Linked DNA regions of Struthio camelus. The protein of the gene in region 1 interacts with the protein of each later gene in a biochemical or structural test. Links are inferred from orthologs where the notes say so. Each region holds a gene or a part of one and is shown in the gene's direction. Other genes may lie near its edges.

Region 1 (10,444 bases):
AGGAACAGAATGCTGAAAACTCAAGACGCTCTCTCCAGAAACGATGCCAGCCTGCTGAAATCTGCTTCCACAGATGTACTCCCATCACACACAGATCAGTTCTCTCTTGATCAGCTTAAGGTCTCTTCTGGAAGATTTGTAGTACAGTGTGAAGAAATTGAGGCAGAGTAACATGTACAGTATCCTTATGTCATGTCCCCATTTAACTGGGCTTAACTGTGCTTGGCAAAGCTCTGAATGTATTGAGGAATCATATATCAGGGTTAAGTATGAGAAGAATGTGCTGAGGATTAAAAGGTCTCTATTGACTCAAGCCACCCTACTCTTTGAAAATATTTACCTGAAGTAGTTACTTTGCTTTCTAGCCTTCTAGAAGTATGTAGCGCTCCAATTTATTTACTCTAGTCACTACCTCTCTTGTATGGCTTTTTTCATTTAGCAGCAAAGAGAAGGGGGGAAATGCAGTCACAAAAGAATTAAATACTTCAGCAGCAAACTTCAGGAGCCTTATACAACTTTTAATTAACTGCTTCCCCATTAAGCCTGGCCTGTAAGGGAATAGTTGAGTAAAGGTTAAGTGTATGAGGAGAAGGTAATGCACAGGATCAAGCTGACCTGTAAAAGCTGAATAGCTGTTATCTCAGAATATTTTGTTTTGGGTGGCCTGATGCTTGTGTATATACACGTTAAAGGCTGTCAAGTCCATTTGGGCCTAGTATCTTAGGCCAAGACTTGCACAAATGATGTGAGGTGCCTAAACTGACATCTCTAAATGCGTCTGACTTTTCTGAAGATGCCAGCTACGGCCAGCTAAATCCTGGGCTTTTAAGGGGTCTCAGGCTGTGGGTGTTCAGGATGTCTCTCCTTGAAAAAGGCTTACTCTTGCCCTCCCCTCTGGCCCCAGATGCACATCCTACCATCTCCTGCTATTCTGTGGGTCACCTTGCAAGCTGAGAGGCCTGGGAAGAGCTCTGGTATCTGCCAGGACTGTGTGCAGCTTTGTTCAGCTTATCGCAACAAAACGCTTTGATCCCTTGAGGCTGGAGATGCCCAGTGCTGGGGGTGTCTGTGAGCAAGGTTTGCAGCATCCAGGCTAGTTCCTGCACCTTTTGGCTTGTCTGCCTGCCTGCTGCTATCTTGGGCTTTCATGCCATGAACAAGGTGCAAACAAAAGTCCCACTTGGATTCCTTTTCCGGTCTTGTAATTGTTCAAGTATCTCTTGTTCTGGTACTTGCTCTGTGAAATGTTTCAGCTGTCTGCCCTGGACGCTGCCCCTCTCTCTTCCTGGCAAAGAGGCAGGGCAGTGCATTTTGTCCCCCAGCTCTGTCCATTCGGCTTTGCCTTGTAAGAGAACTTCTTTACACCCGCTTGCATAGGACACCAGGTAGTTGCAAGGTACGTTGTGGTGACTGCCTTGCTTATTGTCAGTATTTGTTGATCAAAATGGCCACATGCATTTTTTTTTGTCCCTGCCTCAGTTTCCCAAAGCTAATCCACAGTCCCCTTTTGAGTATTTTGCTTTGTTCTCTTAAAGCGTGTAACAGGCCAGGACTTGTACCCTTCATTACTGGAGGAGAAGTGGTCCTTCTGGCTCCTCAGTGTTGCCTCCTGAATCTGAGCAAAGAGATATTTCTACCAAGCACTGCAGGCGCGGGGCCACCCTGAACTGCAGCAAGAGGAACCGCTCTTCCAAGAGGTGTTTGATGAAGAGCTAGTATTAACAGGGTCTCTCCCCGCAGCAAGCAGAAGCGGAGCCTGAGCCCAACAGACGTTCCCGGCTGCTGCTACTATGAGGAGATTGAGTCAATTAAAAGCTATTTCTGTGGCAGCCAGCTATTTTGGGGAATCAAAGAGCATGTTACAGGGTGGAATGATCTTGCTGGGCTGGCAGATCAAGCAGCTGAGAAGGAACAGCTGCTGTCTGCTGTGGCTTCTCTCTGTTCCCTGCCCCATGCTGTCACTTCACATATGCAGGCACGCTTAACCCCTTGCTCTTTCTCTTTCAGCTTGCCACAGTGGAGCCGGGAATGAAGTTCCACATGTATACGAAAGAGGAGCTTGAAGAGGTCATCAAGGATATTTGAAAAAGAGAGACCCCCTCAAAGGCTCATTCCCCAATCAAAGTGAACTGACTCTCGGTTCCTTCCAGTACCTGTGATTTTATTTCCAGCAGCATCTGTACTTGCTCTTCTTAGAAGGCTCTTAAGGTTTTTTTACAGTTTCTGTACATAACTGATCTCTACAATAAGAGGAAATGACAATAAATCATTTTGTTACTCTATCTTGGGTTCCTCATAATGGATGGAGGTCTGAGGTGGGGAAGTGCTCGACCGTTTAGAGCAAAACCCAGGAGCAGGTGAGGACAACATCTGCTGTTGACATCGCTGCAGGGCGAAGCAGCGCGTGCCGGGCTTGCAGAGTTCTCTGGGAATCGCTCTCTGGACGGCGCTGTTCCTAACCGCCTTCCAGACGCGGCGGCTGCTCCAGGAGCCCTTGCTGGTTATGCCAGTAGCAAGTCTCCCTCTCGTGGAGAATGAGGCTATATCACATCAGGACCTCCCATGTATAATTTTACATGGGCTTTTTAGGTCTGCTCATACCCAAAGCAGGCTTGGTGTTTGTGCTCCCTTCTGAATGGGAGTTTGGAAGTACATGCAATGACTATGTGATACAGCAGAGTTCCCCAAGCGTGGAATAGCTCTGAGGTTAAGAGGACAACCCCTTACTCGTTGACCTGGGCAGGTGTCACTGAATTTTGAGAGTATTTTCATTCTGACCAGCGAACTTTTGCTCATCTACTTAATGGGGCTTTTGTTTCTAGTTACCCCCTGCAGGCACCTCTTTGTCCTTGAAATAGCATCTGAGTATTAAAGATTGCTACTGAGATGAAAATAGTCTGGCCTAAGCAGAGTTTAGCAAAGTACTTTCCTGCGAAATCAAGACTGCGTGGCCAGTGCAGCTTCTGAGACTGGAAAACCAGCTCTGCTGTTAGGAGGCTCCTGGTAACACGTTGACTATGCAGTTCTGTGGCTTTGTAGGCAGCAGAGGCTGTGTCTCCCCGAGGCTGCTCCGCTCTCTTCCCTATTTGGAGAAGGTAAAATTTCATCCTGAACAAAACAGCGCTGACTTCTGTGAAAGAAGCAGATCCCGTGCTGCTGCTGGGAGTGGGGATCGCCTGATAAGTGGGGATGCTTCCAGCATTACATTTGACTGAAATGACTAACTTTCCCCTCAATTCAGAGGTCGGGATTGACTGCCGACCTCCAGCAGACATTTCACTGCTGTTTGGCTTTGCCAAACAGTTGCAGCAAACTGACACGACTGATCTCGCGGCCATTTCGCAGGATGGAAAACGCCGATCCTGTTAGTTTTTTTTTCTTCTCTTGCTGTTGCTGAATGCCTTCAGATGCTGGAAAGGCAACCAGATCTACATGGCTGGAAGATCTGTCCTTAGACAACATCTATTTTCAGAATAGCAGAAGCCTTTGCTCCTACGAGTTTCTGCTGTGAGGTTTTTTCCCCCCTCGTTGGTACGAGTTCAAATGAAACAAGCTGGAGAGCCAGGTGATGCCTGAGGTCTTGTGATACTAGTTGAAGACAGCATCTATATCTGCAGGTGGAAGAATAAACAAGTGGCTGGTGGACTTTGCCCTTCAGGGAGACTTCTTTGTAGCCTTAATGTGGGAAAACAAGTCCTTCAACTTTCACTCCGCTTGCATGGCCTTTGAACCACTGCCCCTGGTCTCTCTATGCTACTCTTCATCCCTAGATGAACTTGGGAAGTGAGGAGGGAAAGTCCAGGGTGGAGGTCACTTACCTTGAATGTTTGGCATGCCAGAGATGGTATTGGGGCTGCTGCTCCATGTGTTGCCCTAATAAACTCATCCAGTAAATGCAGCTCACACTGGTACCAGCTACTGTGTATGTGGAAGAAATAAGTACCCTTTATCTTTAGTATTTTAAGCCTTTACATTCACTCAAAGCTAGGTCATGTTCTCTTGCTTCTCCTTTGGAAGGGAAGCCGAGGAGCGTTTCCAGCTGTTCTGCAAACCCTGGCACATGAAGAAACCTGCTGTTCCCGGAGGTAGTGCTCTTTCTAGGCTTGTTTCTGTCCTAGAAAACACAAAAAGCTAATTCTTCCCAGCATGGCACTCCAGCAGAAAATAGTCCTTTATGTCTTTCCCTAATCACATGGTTTGCTGGTGGCAGCATCACATGGTAGCTGGTTCCTCTGAAAAATCAAGGCTTTGTGTTCCTTATATCTGATCCGTCTTGGCTCCATTGAGGGAAAGGAAAAAAGCCGGAGCTCTTTGCAGGCAGTCCGAACGCAAGAGAGGATCTGAGCGTAACAGAGCTGGGCGCACGCACCTCCCGTGCGGGTGGTTGATACCTGCCTCCGCTCTCTTTATCGGTTGAACGATGCCACCCAGGCAGCTTGTCACAAAGGTGTCTTCCCTTAGGTCTTTCATGCATCAAGCTCACAGATTTTCCCTTTTCAGGGCAAAAAAAAAAAAAAAAAGTAAAAGAATGACACAGCAGTAAGAAGAAAACCCTCTTTTTGCAAATGAGGAAGGATGAAGGCCTGGAGGGCGAGTAGCAAAGAAGTCAGGAACTTTCCCAAGTGCGTTTTGATCTCAACTTTGTGCGGCCTTAGGTGTGGCAGGAGGCTCAAGCGCTGTCTGCGCGGCCCGAGAGAGCAGGCGTCAGGGAAGAGGGTTCCTCGCCCGCTTCCCCAGCGTCCTCCTCGCTTGCACAGCCCGGCTTACCCTTGACGGGAGGATGAACCTTTCACGCGGGATCGCGGCCAGATATCCAAAGCCGCCTCCTTTCCCGGGCTCCCGCCAAGGGATCCGTCGCTTAATTTATTGGGAAGCCGCTTTCCGCCCGCGGTGCGGCGAGCGGCCCTCTCCCCGGCGGCGGGCGCCGTCAGCGCCAGGGCAGCGGCCGCAACCTGGAAGGCGCCGGCGTCGGCTTGCTGGTGCCAGGCGAAGCCTTACCGGGCCCTAGCGCGCAGCCAGCCGAGCCGGGGCGGGAGGAGAGGGTCGCTGCCCTCCGCTAAACCCGCTCGTGGAAGCGCCCCTCGCAGCCGGCTGCGCGTCCGGCCCCTCCGCAGGCCGCGACCTCTCTCCGCGCTTTTCTCCTCTCGCCGGGTTTGTCTTTCTCGCTCCTCCCGCCGGCTCAGCGCCGCACGCCCTCCGGCCCCCCGTTTCCTGGTGGCGTCGAGCGAGCTCCCGCGAGCCCCTCGCGCTGGGGCCGCCGGTTGTTTCTGCGTGGCCCCCAGAGCCGTGAACCGGGCCCCAAACCGGGACGGGTGAAGCCCGGCCTGAGCATCCCTGTGCGGGGCTGCCTTGCCAGGGTCCCCCCCCATTACTGGGCGGCTTCTCCGGGGCCTGGGTGTCTCTGGGAGCAGGGGGTCCCTGCTCTCCCTGCCAGGCCCGTTTTTTTTTTTTTTGGGGGGGGGGGGTGGTCTGCCCGCCGGACGCCTGGGCTCCTCGCACCCCCCCCCCCCCCAACCGCTCCGCCCACGTGGGCCGGCCCCCACTTTGTGAATGGGCGAGGGGGCGGGCCTTCTCAGGGTGCCCCGCCACCTCGGCCAATCAGAAAATCGCTCCGCGGCCCCGGTCGCCGCCAATCAGAGGGCTGTGTCTAGGTGGACTAGAATGCGGGGTGGGGAAGGGAGGCGGGGGCAGCGGGCAGTCGCGCAAGGGGTACGGTGGGGAGCTAGCCAGTCACGGAAGGAGGAGAGAGGTGGCTCGGCGGTGATTGGCAAGCGAAGAGGCAAATCAGGAGGCGGGGGCGGGGCGGGGCCGCCGGGGAGGCGGGCCGCCCGGTTGCCATGGCAGGGAGCGACGGCGGCCGCGGCCAACCGCGGCGGCGAAGCGGGCGGGGGCGGGGCGCGGGGGGCGGGGCGCGGGGCGGGGGCCGCCAATGGGGCGGCGGGGGCGGGCGGACGGGGCGCGGCGGGGGCGGGCGGCGGCGCGGGGCGGCGGGCGGCGGCCGGAGTCGCCATGGGGCCGCGCGGGGCAGCGCCGCGCGCGCTGGGGCTGGCGCTGGCGTTGGGGCTGGGGCTGGCGCTGCGCCTCGCGCCGCCGCCCCGCGCCCCCCCGCGCCCCCCCCGCGCCATCGGCGGCGGCGGCGGCGGCCTCGGCCTGGCGGCGGCGGCGGGCGGCGAGGCCTGCGGCGGCCTGCGCGGCGTCCCGGCCGCCCTCGGCAACAACACGCACCAGGTGAGCGGGCGGGGCCGGGAGCGGGGCGGGCGGGACCCCCCGGCAGGGACAGACCCCCCCCCCCCGGCAGCCCCCCGCCCCGTCCCGGAAAGGCACCGGCAGGGTCAGACCCCCCCCCCCGGCAGCCCCCCGCCCCCGGCAGCTTCCCCCCCCCCCCCCCCGGCCGGGCAGGTACCGGGACAGACAGGCCTCGCTGCGCTAACAGGTCTCGGGAGGGACGGACGGACAGACAGAGGCTGTCTGCGCAGCTGTGGGGAGGGACAGACAGACCCCTTCCCCCCCGGCTCCCAGGACGGACGGACAGACAGACAGACAGGCGGTCCCTCCCTCCTAGTCCCCCCCCCCCCCCCCCCGCAGCCCCTAGGGGACATGGGCAGACAGACGGACAGGCAGGTCCGTCGGGGAGCGTGGACAGACAGACGGACAGGCAGGTCTGTTGGGGAGGCATGGACAGACAGACGGACAGGCAGGCAGGTTCCCTGGGGAGGCGTGGACAGACGGACAGGCAGGCGGCCCCTGTAGTCCCTGGCACAGACAGGCGATCCCCAGCAGCAGCAGGACAGAGGGACAGACATCCCATCCTCCTTCCGCACCCACCGGGGCAGACAGACAGACGGACGCGCCGTCACCCTGTCCGTGCTGGGGCAGGGCAGGGCGGACTGACAGAGGTTGACCGGCGCGTGCTCCAGGACGGACACCCAGACCCCCCCCCCGTTGCACTGATGGGGGCAGACGAGGGGACAGCTAGCTAGCCAGACAGACGGACAGGCAGGGGACCTGTGGAGAGGCACCCCTGCAACGCCAGGACAGACAGCCGCCCGCCCACCCTCCGGCGGGTACTGGCAGCGGGCCGGTGGTGAGGCACCTCCCGTGGACAGACCCCCAGCGCGAGCGCCCGCTGCCTGGACGGACGGACGGACAGGCTGACTGATGGGCAGGACGACAACCAGCCAGCCTGAGGCTCTCCCTCTCCCTTCGCCCTGGGCAGGGACAGGACAGACAGACAGACTGACCCCCCACCGCATGCCGGGAGGGAGGTCCCACCGGGATCGCAGCCGCCCTGCGGTCCCGTCCTGCCCTCCCGCTGCGGGGACGGACAGACTGACAGCTCCCTGCCGCGTGGGCGCCGGCGGAGAGGTAGGGGACAGACAGACAGACCGGCAGCTCCTTCCTGCCAAGCGGGTGACGGAGCGGTTCCCGTCCCTGTCCCCGCTCGGCGGGCTCGGGGCGCTCGCCCCCCGCCTCCCCGCCGCCCTTGGGAGTGGCGAGGGCGAGAGATTAAGCGATGTCGCCAGATTTGGCCGACCTAAAATCTAATCTGCCCGGTTTATTTCCCGCTGGCAAAGATGACCTTAAAACCCGCGGGAGAACCGCTTCGGTCCTTCCTCTGCTCCTCCGCGGCGCCGGGAAATGCCCCCGGTGCTGGCAGAGAGAGGAGCCCGTCCCCGGCGTTTGGCCCCGTGGCTGCTCAGCCCTTGCCGATCGCTCGGTGTTACTCATCCACGCGGGCAGCTCCGGCTTGCCCGCGTGCCAGCGTCCGGGTTGAACATTAACCGTGCCGAGGATGCCGCGGGTACGGGCTGCCCTTGGCTGGCAGCGCCCCTTGGCTCGGCCGCCGCGCAGGACTGCTTGTGCCGGGCTTGGGGCCGGGCAGCGGCCGGGGCAGCCCCGAGCCAGGGCCCGTCGGGGCAAAGAGCTGCCTAAGCCGACGCCGTCGCTGCGTTGCACCGGAGGTGCCGCGTCTGCAGACTCGGGAAGAGGCGGGCGCGCGTTGCTGCGGGTCGAGATCTGGCAGGCTCGCTCCGCGCCGCGCGACTGTAGCCGCTGCCCTCTCAGCCGCCGGCTGCACCCGCTCTGCCGGCCCGGCCGGTTGCTAATTGGCGGTTGGAAGTGGGTTTGGAGCCCGGCTCTACCGGCCGACGCTCTGCTTTGAGCTGGGCCGAAAGCTGGGATCCGGCTGCTTGATTACACGCGAGTGTTTAGCTTGGCCGGTGCTGTTTTGGCAACCTCCCTGCCCCGTCCTGCTCTTCCAGGCCTCTCCGGGAGATTTCCTTCGCCGCCGCGGAGGCGCTCGGCAGCCTTGCCACCCGGGCAGCCCCGTCCCGCAGAGGCGAAGCTCAGCCCGAGCGCGAGTGCTGCTCCCAGCCGGGCTGGGAAGGGGGCCAGGCTGGCCTGACTCCTCGTCCTTTCCCTTAACCCGCGAGCCAGCCGCTCGCCCGCAGCTTCTGCAAAAGACACGTAGTGTCTTGGAGAAACAGGCTGTGTCGAAAGTCCACGGTGGGTAATAACGCGGCGTCTCAGCGGGGAGAAGAATGCGCCCGTTTGTTCGCTGCGACCGGCCGGGTTTTGTCCCTGCGGCGCCGGTGCCTGCTGGAGAGCAGGGCGAAGGAGCCGCGGCTTGTGCTCCCTTACGGGCCCCTGGGCCGCCTGGCAGGGAGCGAGATCGGGCGGCCTCTTGTGCGGCGCTTGGCCTCTCCGTTTTCCTCCTTTCCTTCCTCCGGCGGCTCCGCAGGCCTGAGCTAACGTGGGCGAGCGCGGGGCTCGCAGCACCCTCCTTCCCCAGCCGCCGGGGCTGCGCCGGCCCCTGCTCGTCCCTTACCCCGGTTCCCGCTGGGAGAGGCGTCCCGAAGCCGCCGAGCCGTGCGCGCGGAGCTGCCGGGACTGGGAACAAGCCGGGCGCCTTGGCTCGAGCGGCAGCGTTTCGAGGCGCCTCTGTCCTTGCGAGGGCACCGAGGGAAGTCGCTTAGCTGCTGCCTCAGTTTCCCCCTACCGCGAAGCAGGAGGAGGGAAGGCCCCTCCTTGCAAGAGCCCTGCCAGGTCAGCGCACCGCTGCACAACAGAGGCGTTGCATGGACGGAGCGTTTAGCCCCAGATCGTGGCCTCCCTCCAGTAAATCCTGAAACAGGGACGTTTCTGGATATGATCGCTTGTCTGCTCTGAGGCTCATTCACCCTCGCTGCTGGTGGACTGGCTGGTAAAGAGCTTTCCTCTGAATTCAGAGGATCCTCGACCGATGCACGGGACGATGCTCCAGAGCGGCGCCACAGAAGGGAAGTTGCTCCTTGCTGCAGTTGCTGACTCGGAAGCACAAGATTTGGCTCGTTTTGAGCTGCGGTCAGCGGCGAAAGCCTGGATAACCTCCGTGCGAACCGCAGAGCGGCCTGGCAGCGCGCGGGACAGCCGCTTTGCTGCCGACAGCCTGCTCTGCCCGCGGGAGCCGCGTTTCTGGCAGGCGGCGAGGAGGGTTAGGAGAGCCCCGGCTTGCAGGGCTCCGGCCCCGCTCGCGCGCGGGCTCCGTCGGTGCCGGGCTGCCTCGCTCTGCAGCGAGGGGCAACGCGTCGTGGCCGGCGAGGCCACGGGCCAAACAGCTTCCCGGTGCCGTTTGCGTGGTCCGGGGGTGCAGGCGCCGTCACCAGCTTCGTCACTGAGCTAATGAGGTGCCGCCGCCTCGGGCCTGACCTCAGCGTTTCGCTGTCTGCAATTAAATCTTTGTCTGGCAAGCATCCTCCCCGTAGCAACCTAGATAATTAAAAGCCTGCGACCTGGTGTTTCTCTTATTGCTAAATTGAGTTTTAAATGGGTGGCAAAAGCTGTGCAGAGGCATCGTTCTTGCTCCCCGCCCTCCCCGATGCCATTGCAGTGGTTACAGCGACGGCGCTCTGCTCTCCCGCCGGGCGGGGAGACGCGGAGCGGCTTGGGAGGGTCCCCGCGCCGCCCCGCTGCTCTCGCCCGGGGACGCGCGAGGTTAGCGAGCGCCGGGAGCCGGCGCCAAGTTGCGACGCAGCAGAGCTCTCTGCGGCGCGGGTCTGCTCCTCTCCCCGCAGCCCGCTCCTGCCGGTGCTGCAGAGCCCGCCAGCGCGGCGGGAGAGCGGGGACCGATGGGTCTCGCTGCTCTGCCGGGAGGGATTTTGCGATCAGGGAGATCTTGCGATCCCTGGGAAGAAACCCCTAAACCCAGGGGGAGGCACGGCACGAACCCACGGGAAGGAGCGGGAGCGTGCTTTTCCAGCCGGCGCAGCATCCTCGCGCCTCCCTCGCTCGCCGGAGCCGGTTCTGCTCTCAGGGTCGCTTGTCGGGGGCCTCCGGCGGAGGAGAGCCGCCCAGTTTGACCAGACGTTGGACTGGTCGCTGGCCCGCTAGGTCCAACGCCAGCAGGCCCCGGCTCACCTCCCCTGGGACTTTATTTTTAGCTCTGCCCTTGTGACTAATGGGGTCA
Region 2 (10,444 bases), about 6.1 Mb from region 1:
CTTCTGTTGAGGCACAGATTCTCTTGAAATCTTTCAGGAAAATTGATGCCTCCAAGAAAAATTTTAGGCAGGGTGTTTATTGGAAAGAAGGTGGGCCAGGCAAGCTGGACCTCTTATGAACATATTCAGACTTGATTTTACATGCTTGATTTTACCCTTTAAGATTTTGTATACCAGCAATTTGAATGCAGAATTGTTTGTCCTACCTCCTCATCAAGATTTAAGCAACAAGGCAACCTTTCCTGATAACACAGAGTTCTTCTCTTGTCGTCTACTTTATGATAGAAGGCCGAGGGGCACCATGAATTTCTTTAGGGCGCACTGGAAGAGGAAGTTGCTTCTCAGGGAGAATCTTTAGTACAGTGCTCAGAGCCCCTGAGATGTTCCCAAACCTCTTGCTTTTCAGTGCCACTGAAGCCTCCCTTAAGAACAATTACAACATGCTGCCTTGTGGGGATCGCCTCTAGATCAGACTCTGCAATACCTCCTGTTCAATATGCTTGTGCCCCCACTGAGACCTACTGCTGGAGATGAAGGTTTAGTATCGCAACCCTAAAAGGAAGCAAAATTCAGATATGATCATATGTTATCTGCCCACTAACACGGCAAGAACAATCAGGTTATAATACTCATCCCCTGTAGATATTATTACTGGCTGTAAGTGGCTGTCAGCTCCCAGAGCTCATTAACAAAGCATGGCTGTACTGGCAAGTTATTCTCAACATCTCAGAGCGCATTATGCACACACGGTGAAGTCAGACTTCAACAAGGAAAAGCAGTTTAAATTAAAGCATAGTAAAAGAGCGGTAGAGAGGGAGAGGAGAAAAAGCGAGGCCCACTTCACAGACCAAACAGCAGGGAAGAGTCATTCTCTGCCAGAGTCAATGCTTCTCTCTGGTCCCATTCCTTTGCAGCAAGCAGAGAAGCAATGCTAGAAGCACAGGTTTCTCAGGGAACCTGCGCATGAGAGCCTCATTATCCAGTGACAGACGATGTGTCCAAGCCTCCTGTAGCTGCTTCAAGGCAGACTTGACCAACGTCAGCATGAAATGAGAACATGCTATGGGCTTCACTGATGGTGCTAGTACCCCCAAAGAAGGGGGGAAACAGCTGTCAGACTCTGTGGATTATAGAAGGATTAACACTAGCAGAGTTTGCGTGGCATATTCCCAATCAACAAAACAGGGGAAACACGCATTTGACTTTAGCTCTTGAAATGCTCTTGTCACGGAAGCGTGTGTGAAAGGTGCACCAGATCATATGTGGTTATAAAACTTTTGTCCACAAAAGAGACACACAAGTCCATTACTAGTGAACCCTGACTGACAACTCTTCGTGGTTTTCACAGAGACTTCCGACTCCAACCCAGCCACTAGTTCAGTCTAGTGCAACAAGCTATGGCTAGGGATAAAACCACGCAGCCACTAAGCAGAGTATCTTACAACCTTTTATCCTCCTATAGAAGAGCACTCAAACATCTGAGTGCTGTTTTTCAAAATTCATAGTTCCTTTTCTGTTTTAAAATAGCACGTATGTTCTAATTTTACCCTCATTGCAAACCAACAGTGAATATTAAGGTATTCTAACAAAACTGCAGGCTTATGTATACTGTAATATACAGTAGTTACTGTGTCTTTCCAAATAAGTTATCAGGCAAAACCTCTGCTGAATCCAAAGAGGAACGCTATGTAAAGTTATTCTCATAGCTCTGCTTTGTCTATATGTCACTACCATAAGAATTACATTCTGTCTGTAACAGCACTTGGATGATCACTAGACAGTTTGCTTTTACTAAGATCAGGCTTTGGAGATGTTTTATTTTACAGCAAAATGGTTTGTTTTACTGTACCCTTTATAACTAACCAAAAGAGAAAGAATAATATTAGTGCAAGTCCATAACTCACCATAACTGAATGTTTCCTATCACCACTTGTTTTGAACTGCAGTATATTGGGATGCATCATGAGCAAATCAATTTCTTGACGCAGCTAAGCTACATTCGGTATGCGTTATCGATTCAACTGAAAAACCATGCAGCAGAAGCAGTTAAGAAAAAAACAGGAGACTGAGTCCCACAGTAAATCAGTAATGAACTTGTTTGTATGACCTACTTATTCATGACCCATGAGTGAGCTTCTGCTTTTTGCTAATAGCTTCTGCCCTACACATAACACTATAATGTAATGCTACACAAACTAACAAAGCCAAAAGAGACCACCTGTCCATCAGGTTTTCCATGTTTGAAACTAATACAAGAGGAGAACTTGTGTTGTGACCATTCCTTCTAGTCTCTCAGTTAACATCTATTTGGCCAAAGGTGGGCTAGCTTCCTCCAGCTGAGTATTAAGAGCTAAGTTTAATATCTCTTTACATTCAATTTAGCTTTAGGACTAGAGCTGTCAAACAAGCTTACATAAGATAGCAATGCTCTATTTTCTGGAGGTTTATAAAATTGGAAGTGATAAATATTCTTTTAGGTAAAACAGATTCTATCTTACACTTTTGAAAGCCTCACTTTAGACGTTTAAAACACTTCTTGCATTCACATCTAAGCACCTCCAGATAGCTGGGGTGGGGGGTGTACTTTTGATTTATCTTTTTTCCTGTAAAGACCCAGCACTACAAGAAAGTACTGAATGCAGCTGTCAGCACGCACGTGCACGCGCACACACACACACAATTAAGTATCTCTGAAGAAAACAAGATCTGTCACCCTCATCCCATGCCCTATACTTTTATGACATGTTTGAAAAGCTTTTCATGCTCTGTGGGTCCTTTTATTAACACCCTGACACCTCTCTAGACAGCAAGATTTTAGAAACAGTAGCTCTGCTCACCTGCGTTACTTCCATACTCACAATGATTTCAGACACAAATGAGGACTTTGTTGGTTCTGGCAGCTTTGTTCCTCAAAGAAAGTTGCTTATAAATGGAAAAGCCCAGCCACTGCTCCTCAAACACCTTCCCCGAAACTCTTTCAGGAGCACAAAAGACATCAACTCCAGCAGGAATTCACCTCCTGTACCCAAGGCCTCTTACAGTCCTAAACAACCCACATAAACACAAAACACCTTTTTCCTACTCTGTGCCTCCTTCACTAACCTATTTGGACAGAAGTGCTGATGCAGGGGGAAGAGGCTGTAACAATCCACAGCTGTTGTTTTGGGGCTTAGGGCAACACTGAACTCAGCCTAATGGTCAGAATAGCCACAGCCCAAGACTCATGAGAGCACAAAGCATTTCACCTCTTGTCACCACTCTCAACAGTGCTGCTCTTCATTTTGATCTGTGTGCTTTTGGTTTCCTGAAACAAAATATGTCAACGCACTACATGCCAATGCTTCTCTGGAACACAATGGATCGACTTACTCTTAGGCGAAAATTGAGGTAATTGTTCAAGGAAGCTCATGCAAGAGGTCATAGGAGATTTGGGATTATTGTAGTAGAGGCAGAAGAATAATTGGATGCAAATCTCTAAGAGAACCAGGATTCATTAGTTTGGTGCTCACAGAAGAACTTCTCTCTATGCAGCAGCTTCTCTGATTCCAGAATACATCTTTTCCTTGCTCAGCCTGACATTATTAGTTCTTTACCTTGTGATCAGTGATTTCCTGCCTAAGCAAGAGAACCCCCAACTCATGAAAGATAAAAGTTAAACATCCGTGCAAGTAGGTGGGTCAGAGCACTGCTAAAAGAGAAAGATATACAACCTACTCTGTGCAGCGCTTTCAGCTGCTCAGCTCCAAGTATAGCAGTCCACCTGGGATTACGTCTGTACATGGCTAGTATACCCATAGGAGCACGCCTATTTTCCAGAAGCTAGGAATGTAGAAATGCTGTTTGTTTGGGGTACATGGGAACATAAGGAAAAAGAATACAAGCCAGTGCGTTTTCCTAGGGACTGGTGCAGCTATCTTTCTTGCTTATATGAACCTGCTGCTATGATGGAATGAGGTACTAGAGGAGAATTTCGTTAGACAAAAGTAAGTGCTTGTGATACAGATTAAGTACAAACTCAAACTGTATTATTGTTTACTGTGTCCAAAATAGCTTTTTTAACTTTTAAGAAAACACATGCAACTCGTGCCAAGAAATCAAACGTAGAGATGCTAAGCACAAGCATGTACTAACTTTTTGGTCAGAAAAGAGCATATATTTTTATATTGGTGTTTTGATGCTGTTCATTATACTCACACCAAGCTATAATGCTCTTTCAAATTGTCAGCAAAAAATCCTAACCTGAGGATATCCTAATGAAGTGAGACAAATTTCCAACACAAGAATAGCCTGGCATTTCTGCAATGAAATATGAATCTAAGGCCAAATCCCGAGGACAAGTTTTACAGGCAAAACTTTCACAAATTCTGATGGCTGTCTGTGTGAATGAAGACATTACAGTTTGGCCTGTGACTGGTATCTTGTGTGGGCCGTCGCTTTTAGAAAAACAAACCAATCTGAACTGCATAATTCTGGGAACTTAGGAAGGTATTTTCAGCATTTGTTTTAAGCATTTTGTGTTGCAATTTTCTTAAGGATTTTTCAGGCAATTTTAAATGGACATCACCTCCAAGAAAAGGTCTAGCACTGAAGCCAGTCTTAACTTTGGCACTGTGGAAAATGAATGTAAGACTTGTCTACGACTTCTAATAAAATAGAGGATATGCTTGGTTCGAGTTCAAGAACTATCACATTCACGTGATATATAAAAAACATTATTATCTCAAAGCTACTTTGTCTTCTTCTTTACGCCTTTACACAGTACCTTCCACACATCTTTCCCTTCCTAGAAGGTTTTCAAGCATGAGCCTCTCCAGATGTCCGCCCTCTTCTGGATGTAATCAAAAGATGTTTTATTATTTCCACGTTTATAAAATGCAGTGGTCTGTTTTTCAGTAGAGGATGATCTAACTTTTTGCCTTGGGTCTCTGTGAAATGGCAAGGGTTACACTATGCTAGTATGAGAACTATGAAATTCCAGGTGTCTGCTTCATAGCTGTATTAAAAGTTCCTTTGGTTTATGTAGTCAGTCAACTGTTTATTGATTTGTTTAATGTCATGTAATTTTTCACTTTTGCATTTCTTCTCTGTATTTCTCAGGGCTTAAAACACACTGTTGCTCTGTGGTAAAGCACTTAATCCTCCTTCACAAAAATAATGGAGAAACATTTCCATCTCCCTCTATTGCTTATGGTAAGCATGTTGAGCACAAAACATTAGGGCTGGAAGGCACTTTATATAATCTTTTCCTCTGCCCCAAGTCAGGATCAACTATTTCCTTCTTACTCCTGATCAGTATTTGGCTGACCCCTGATAAAGACATCTGATAACAGGGACTGCACAATTTTTGCAGACAACCTAGTCCACTGCTTCATCAGTTAACTGTTAGTTTCTTCTTATTCTTTTTCATAGACTCATGACATGAGTAAAGGGCTCTAAGGATCACTTTCACAAGGACCCATTCATCAGGGACCCGGGGCTTTGCTTTTGTGACCTCTCATCTTTAAACACAGCACAGATATTAAGATGCAAAGCAGAAATTCTTTAGACAAAAAGTACCTTAAAGAGAATTTCAGTTCTTGACAGTGGAACCAGGAAGTTGACACTTTTTCTCAGTCATACAGCCAGTGCACGCTTTGAAACTTTCACTGCACATCTGTGCATCACTGCATGGATTAGGCGCCAAGCCAAAGGCTAGATTCCTACGAGTCCGTGCAGCTCCCACACGTTTACAGCACTAGGACCCAGAGGGAGCTTAATTCCTGTGAGTCAGTGCAGCTAGCTGAGCCTGAGAGCAGTGAATGAGGCTGGAAAGGCAGAGGGAATGTGAATGGCTCGTCTGGCTTGGGAAAGTGTCCACAGACTAGGGTGCTACGGACTACAAAACAGCTTGGACACCCCTCAGGATTTCCTCTCCCTCCAGTGTTGAGTGATAGCAGCTCTGAGGTGAGTGACCCCACAACCGTCAAAGGGTTTTCACAAAGCAAGTAATGCTGCCGTTGCATCAGTTGTGGAAGTTTTCCTGTCTTTAAAATTTGCCAGTATGTTTTTGCTGTACTGTGATTTTCGCTCTCTTGAAGGGGTGCAGATCAGATGCCTTTGAAACATGGAGTGCTGGTTGCTTAAAAGTAACATTTGTTCAGAACAGCTTGGTCTAGTAAGACTGAAAATTGCATCTATTAATGCAGTTTAAATAGCATGCACATCTGGAAGGTGTTCAGAAAGCATTTGTGGCTAAGTTCAAAGCTTGAAACGTATCTTTAGTAAAAGCAGCTTAACCTTAGAGAAATGTAGGCATTCTTACGCATCGTTTTTCATCCAGGTAAATCAGACCTTAGTTTTATCTGCACAGGTATAGCAGTTAACTTCTATATGAAAATGCTTTGCTGTCTTGGTTTTCATTATGGTGTAACACTTTCTCTCTTTTCCATGATAATTCTACTCTAGGTAAGAACTCTTTTTTTTGCTTTTCTGAAATAAATAAATAAGAATTCTGGTCAATCCAGACATAATTGGCACAAGGCAGAAACCTTCTAGCTCTAGGCAGAGCTGTAGTTCACTTTAGACTGTATATTCTGTAACTACACTTGGAAAAGCTTACCAACTCCTTGCTGCCTGCCTATTATTGACAGGATGAAACTGACAGTGTTTATTGATTTATCCTGGGTGATAGTAACACCGTTTTATCTGATACGCCAGTCAGACACAGGAACGGGGACCCCAGCAAGGGAGGAAAGGAATTTGTGTGCCAAGAACAAAAAGCGTTTGTGCTTCAATTGTTTTCTTCACTTTAAATTCTCCTTATACGCTCAAGAAGTTTTAGAAAAACAGTGAAAGTGAGCACGCTTGTCAGGCTGGTTTTTCCAAGTTGTCACAACTTGGAAGTTGCATTGTCACTGTTAGGCAGATAATTCATGAGTGCTTTCATGCATTAGTGTATTACAGTAAAGCCTCTTGGGTACTTTTTTGCTAAGCTAAAATAGAGTGTGACAATTATCTGCAAAAAGGCAGGAAGCTGACTTGCCTGTAAGTTCATACTTGTTGCAGTTCTGAGCTGTTTCAGGTACTATGAAAAACAGGCCTTTTAAAAAGCCATCTCCATGTTCAGATGGACAATCATCATCTCACATTTGTCCAAAACTCACAAAGTTACAACAGTGTCTGCACTTTCACAAAAAAAAATTACAGTGATGGGATCAAGAAAATAAAATGGAGTGTCCACATGAGCAGGATTAAGAAAGATTTGGCCCTTAAATATATTACTCGTTAGGTGTATGAATCATTTTCTAAAAAATCTCAGCAAGGTCTGGAGAGTAGCTCTTCTGGCAGATGTGCGCAGTAAAGTAATAGTCATTTCACATCCTGATCAATCCCAGCCACTCACTCTAAAGGGATCTGTCAGTCTCACAACAGGGTGGCAAAGAAAGTAAGTAAGTGTGGCTTTCTTGCTCATGGTTTTCACATCCTCTTAGCTTAGCAGTGTCCATTTTCTCACCCAAAAGCTTAAGTTATCTTCTCAGATGTCTTCATTTAATTCCAGCGGAGAATTACAGAGCACAAAGGATCATTCTAGCCCATATGCTAAGTTACTTAGAATGATTATTACTTAGAATGATTAGGCCTCCTATGTAATCACTGTAAAATGTTAATTTAAAAAAACAGGTTAGGAAAATACGTAAAATGTTGATTAAGTAATAATTAGCATTTTTAAGTGAAAATGCCCTTCTTTAATGGAATACATATAACAGCAGGAAAGATGAAACACATTTAAAAACTAGATTACTTCAGTCCATAGAATACATCCCATAATTTCACCTGTGCTCATATACAAAATGCTCCTGTAAATGCAAATTCCATCATGCACATTTCATTAATCAATTTTGTTTCTTTAAAAAATACCTTTAGAACTGGCAGGATATTGAATATATATTAATTAACATTAATTGCATTAAGTTGAAGGCATCATTTGGAAAATATATCGATAATTTTAAGGAGGTAACGTAGTTCTACTATTGTTTTAGTCATATATTTCGAGAACAAACCTTGCTCTTAAAACAAAAGAGTTAAAACAATTAATGATTTCACTCCAGTAGATTTAATATTCCAGCACCAAAAGTCTACACCAGTACTGGTGCGTTTAGAAATATTTGTCTATCCTTTAAATCTCAGTCCACTAAAAGCTAGTGAACGGCAACACCTTTCAACTCGACTACAGCAATGGTGACCTCTGCTGGCAACTGCCCTCTCGTCAGAAGTTTAAAGGGCTTGTTCAGAAAGTGACCATAAAGTAACACATTTATTAGATCAGCTGATACAGTTAGAGAAATGTAAGATACTACTTCTTCCCACAAGCCTTGCCTCATGCTAACGAGGGGTGAAAGGCACCCGTAACAATGGTACTAGAGCTGCTTTTTTTCACGGTAAGAAGAAAATTCTCCCTATCCTCAATTTGACTCCAGCGCTGTCACGGAGGCCAATGTGTTTTAAGAGCATTTCTATGACAGAAGCGTCTCCCACACTGGGACAGATGTCCTATGGGATGTGAGTGGCTTGTTTTCCTGACACAAGGCCCTTTGCGCAGCTCTGTTGAATTGATTAAATATTTGCAAGTGTTTGCGTGTGCATGCATTTATACCAAAAATTATTACGTGGCCAAACACAGCAAGGTCATTTTTGCTTTTGCCAAGAGATCATCGTATCTATTAGCGTAGGTTATGCACACTTTGAGTATTGGTGTGATTCCACTAGCGCTATTTATATAACTCAGTCAGTGAAAGTAAAGCCTCAGTCCCACATTATAAGCCCATCTTGTGCCCATGTCCTGACTATTGCATGTAGTTATGGTCATTGTCCACATCTCAAAAAAAGAATAGAGTAAAACCAGAAAAGGCACAAAAAAGAGCAACAAGGCCTGGAACAATTTCCATATTAAGAGGAACTACATAGATCAGGACTTCCCGACCTGGAAAAGAGATGGCTGAGGAGGGATATAATGTAGATACTCGTAACTGTCCTGTATAAGGTTAAGAAGAAATGGCTGTTGTCTGTCTCCCAGTTCAAAAACCAAGGAGCAGGAAATGAAACTTACAGGTGGCAGGTTCAAAGCAAACAAAATAAAGTTGTTCTTTTCTCCAGGCATCATTAAGGTATGGAATTTCTTTCCATTGGATGGGTTCAAAAAGCAATCCGACATATTAAAAGCAAAGATACTACCTGCAGTTCAGGAAATCAAATGCAATTCAAAAATGACTGGAGAGTGGGAGAGTATAATAAGGAAATATCACTATATGGTTGCCCTATTCTTATACTACTCCCTAAACATTACTAGGTACTGTGGAAGACAGAATACTTTCTTCCGTTCTGGTACAGACATCCTTATCTTCTTCTCCTAAGCGTTTTAGCCTGCCAAATACTTTACCCATTCTTGCAAGAAGAAAGGTCACTACATAATTTTTACTATGTGTTGCTAGTTCACTGATGAAGGTACGGGACTTGTGTTTAAACGAGAAGGTGAAGATAGCGTTTTTTATCTGAGTATTCATTACTTAGGGGCAAGTACGAGTTCATGTGAGTTTACACTGCAGAAAGAGACCAACACTGAGATATATAACTAAACAGGCAAATCAAGGTCTAAATAGATTATGACTGAGGAAGTGGAAAAAGGCCTAAGAAAAGTATGTAACTGTTTGATCTTGTGAAATTCAGTGAAATATACTTCAAATGGGAAAACACAGTTTTATCTAATTTCTTAGTGCCTATTTATTTGTGGAGCTGACATCTTATTTTGAGACTCGTTATTGAACTGAAGTCTTTTCTTAATGCTTTCACCAAGAATATTACACATAAAAGTAAACAGTAGCAAGGAAATATTACATCATTCGTTGCATTGACAGTATACCTTTCACCTGGATTACTGCAGAGTCCAGAGAATAGCAATACAAACGGTGAAACCTGGATGCCAGGAAGCTCTAGCATATTCTGAGGAGATAAGTCAGGGATGGGAGATGTCAACCTGACTGCTGTGAGTCTAACCCCAAGCGTAGCTGACTGGCTATAGAGGTATTAAATGTGTTTTTCACTCTGGAGCGCGTGTTAAAAAACAGTGGAATTACACAGAACTTTCTCTGCACAAAAGTCGGTTTTCATGCCTCCTTTCGTGCTTCCTGTTTCTCCGAGTTTAACAATTAATTGCAAACGAGTTAAGAGTGTACTGGAACGTTAAAACTTGGCACTTGTACCCAATTATGAGGACACAGGAGAAGGGATAAAACCGAATTTAATGGATACACAAATAGAGGTGTAAGATGCTGACCGTACTGGCAGACAGTTGTGAAGTCACTAGGGATATAAAAAGAGTTGGCTACAACAATTCACTAGTCAGCACGTTTTCAAGTGCGTGAGCTCCAACTGAAGCACACCCAAGTACACCACGTTGCACAGTCAACTA

Evidence for each region.
Region 2: the proteins of SORT1 (region 1) and NGF form a complex in vitro, tested with the Homo sapiens proteins (3 studies listed by BioGRID and IntAct, with this or other methods). The link is inferred for Struthio camelus from reciprocal best matches to the Homo sapiens genes SORT1 and NGF.

Annotation. Positions count from the first base shown.
Region 1 is NC_090965.1:4,133,898-4,144,341, reverse strand, and holds the start of SORT1 (sortilin), read left to right. Parts: upstream 1-6,009; coding exon 6,010-6,228; intron 6,229-10,444. Other genes in the region: PSMA5 (proteasome subunit alpha type-5), read left to right, coding at 2,008-2,085.
Region 2 is NC_090965.1:10,273,391-10,283,834, reverse strand, and holds the start of NGF (beta-nerve growth factor), read left to right. Parts: upstream 1-5,651; 5' UTR 5,652-5,943; intron 5,944-10,444. UniProt on the Homo sapiens protein: Nerve growth factor is important for the development and maintenance of the sympathetic and sensory nervous systems.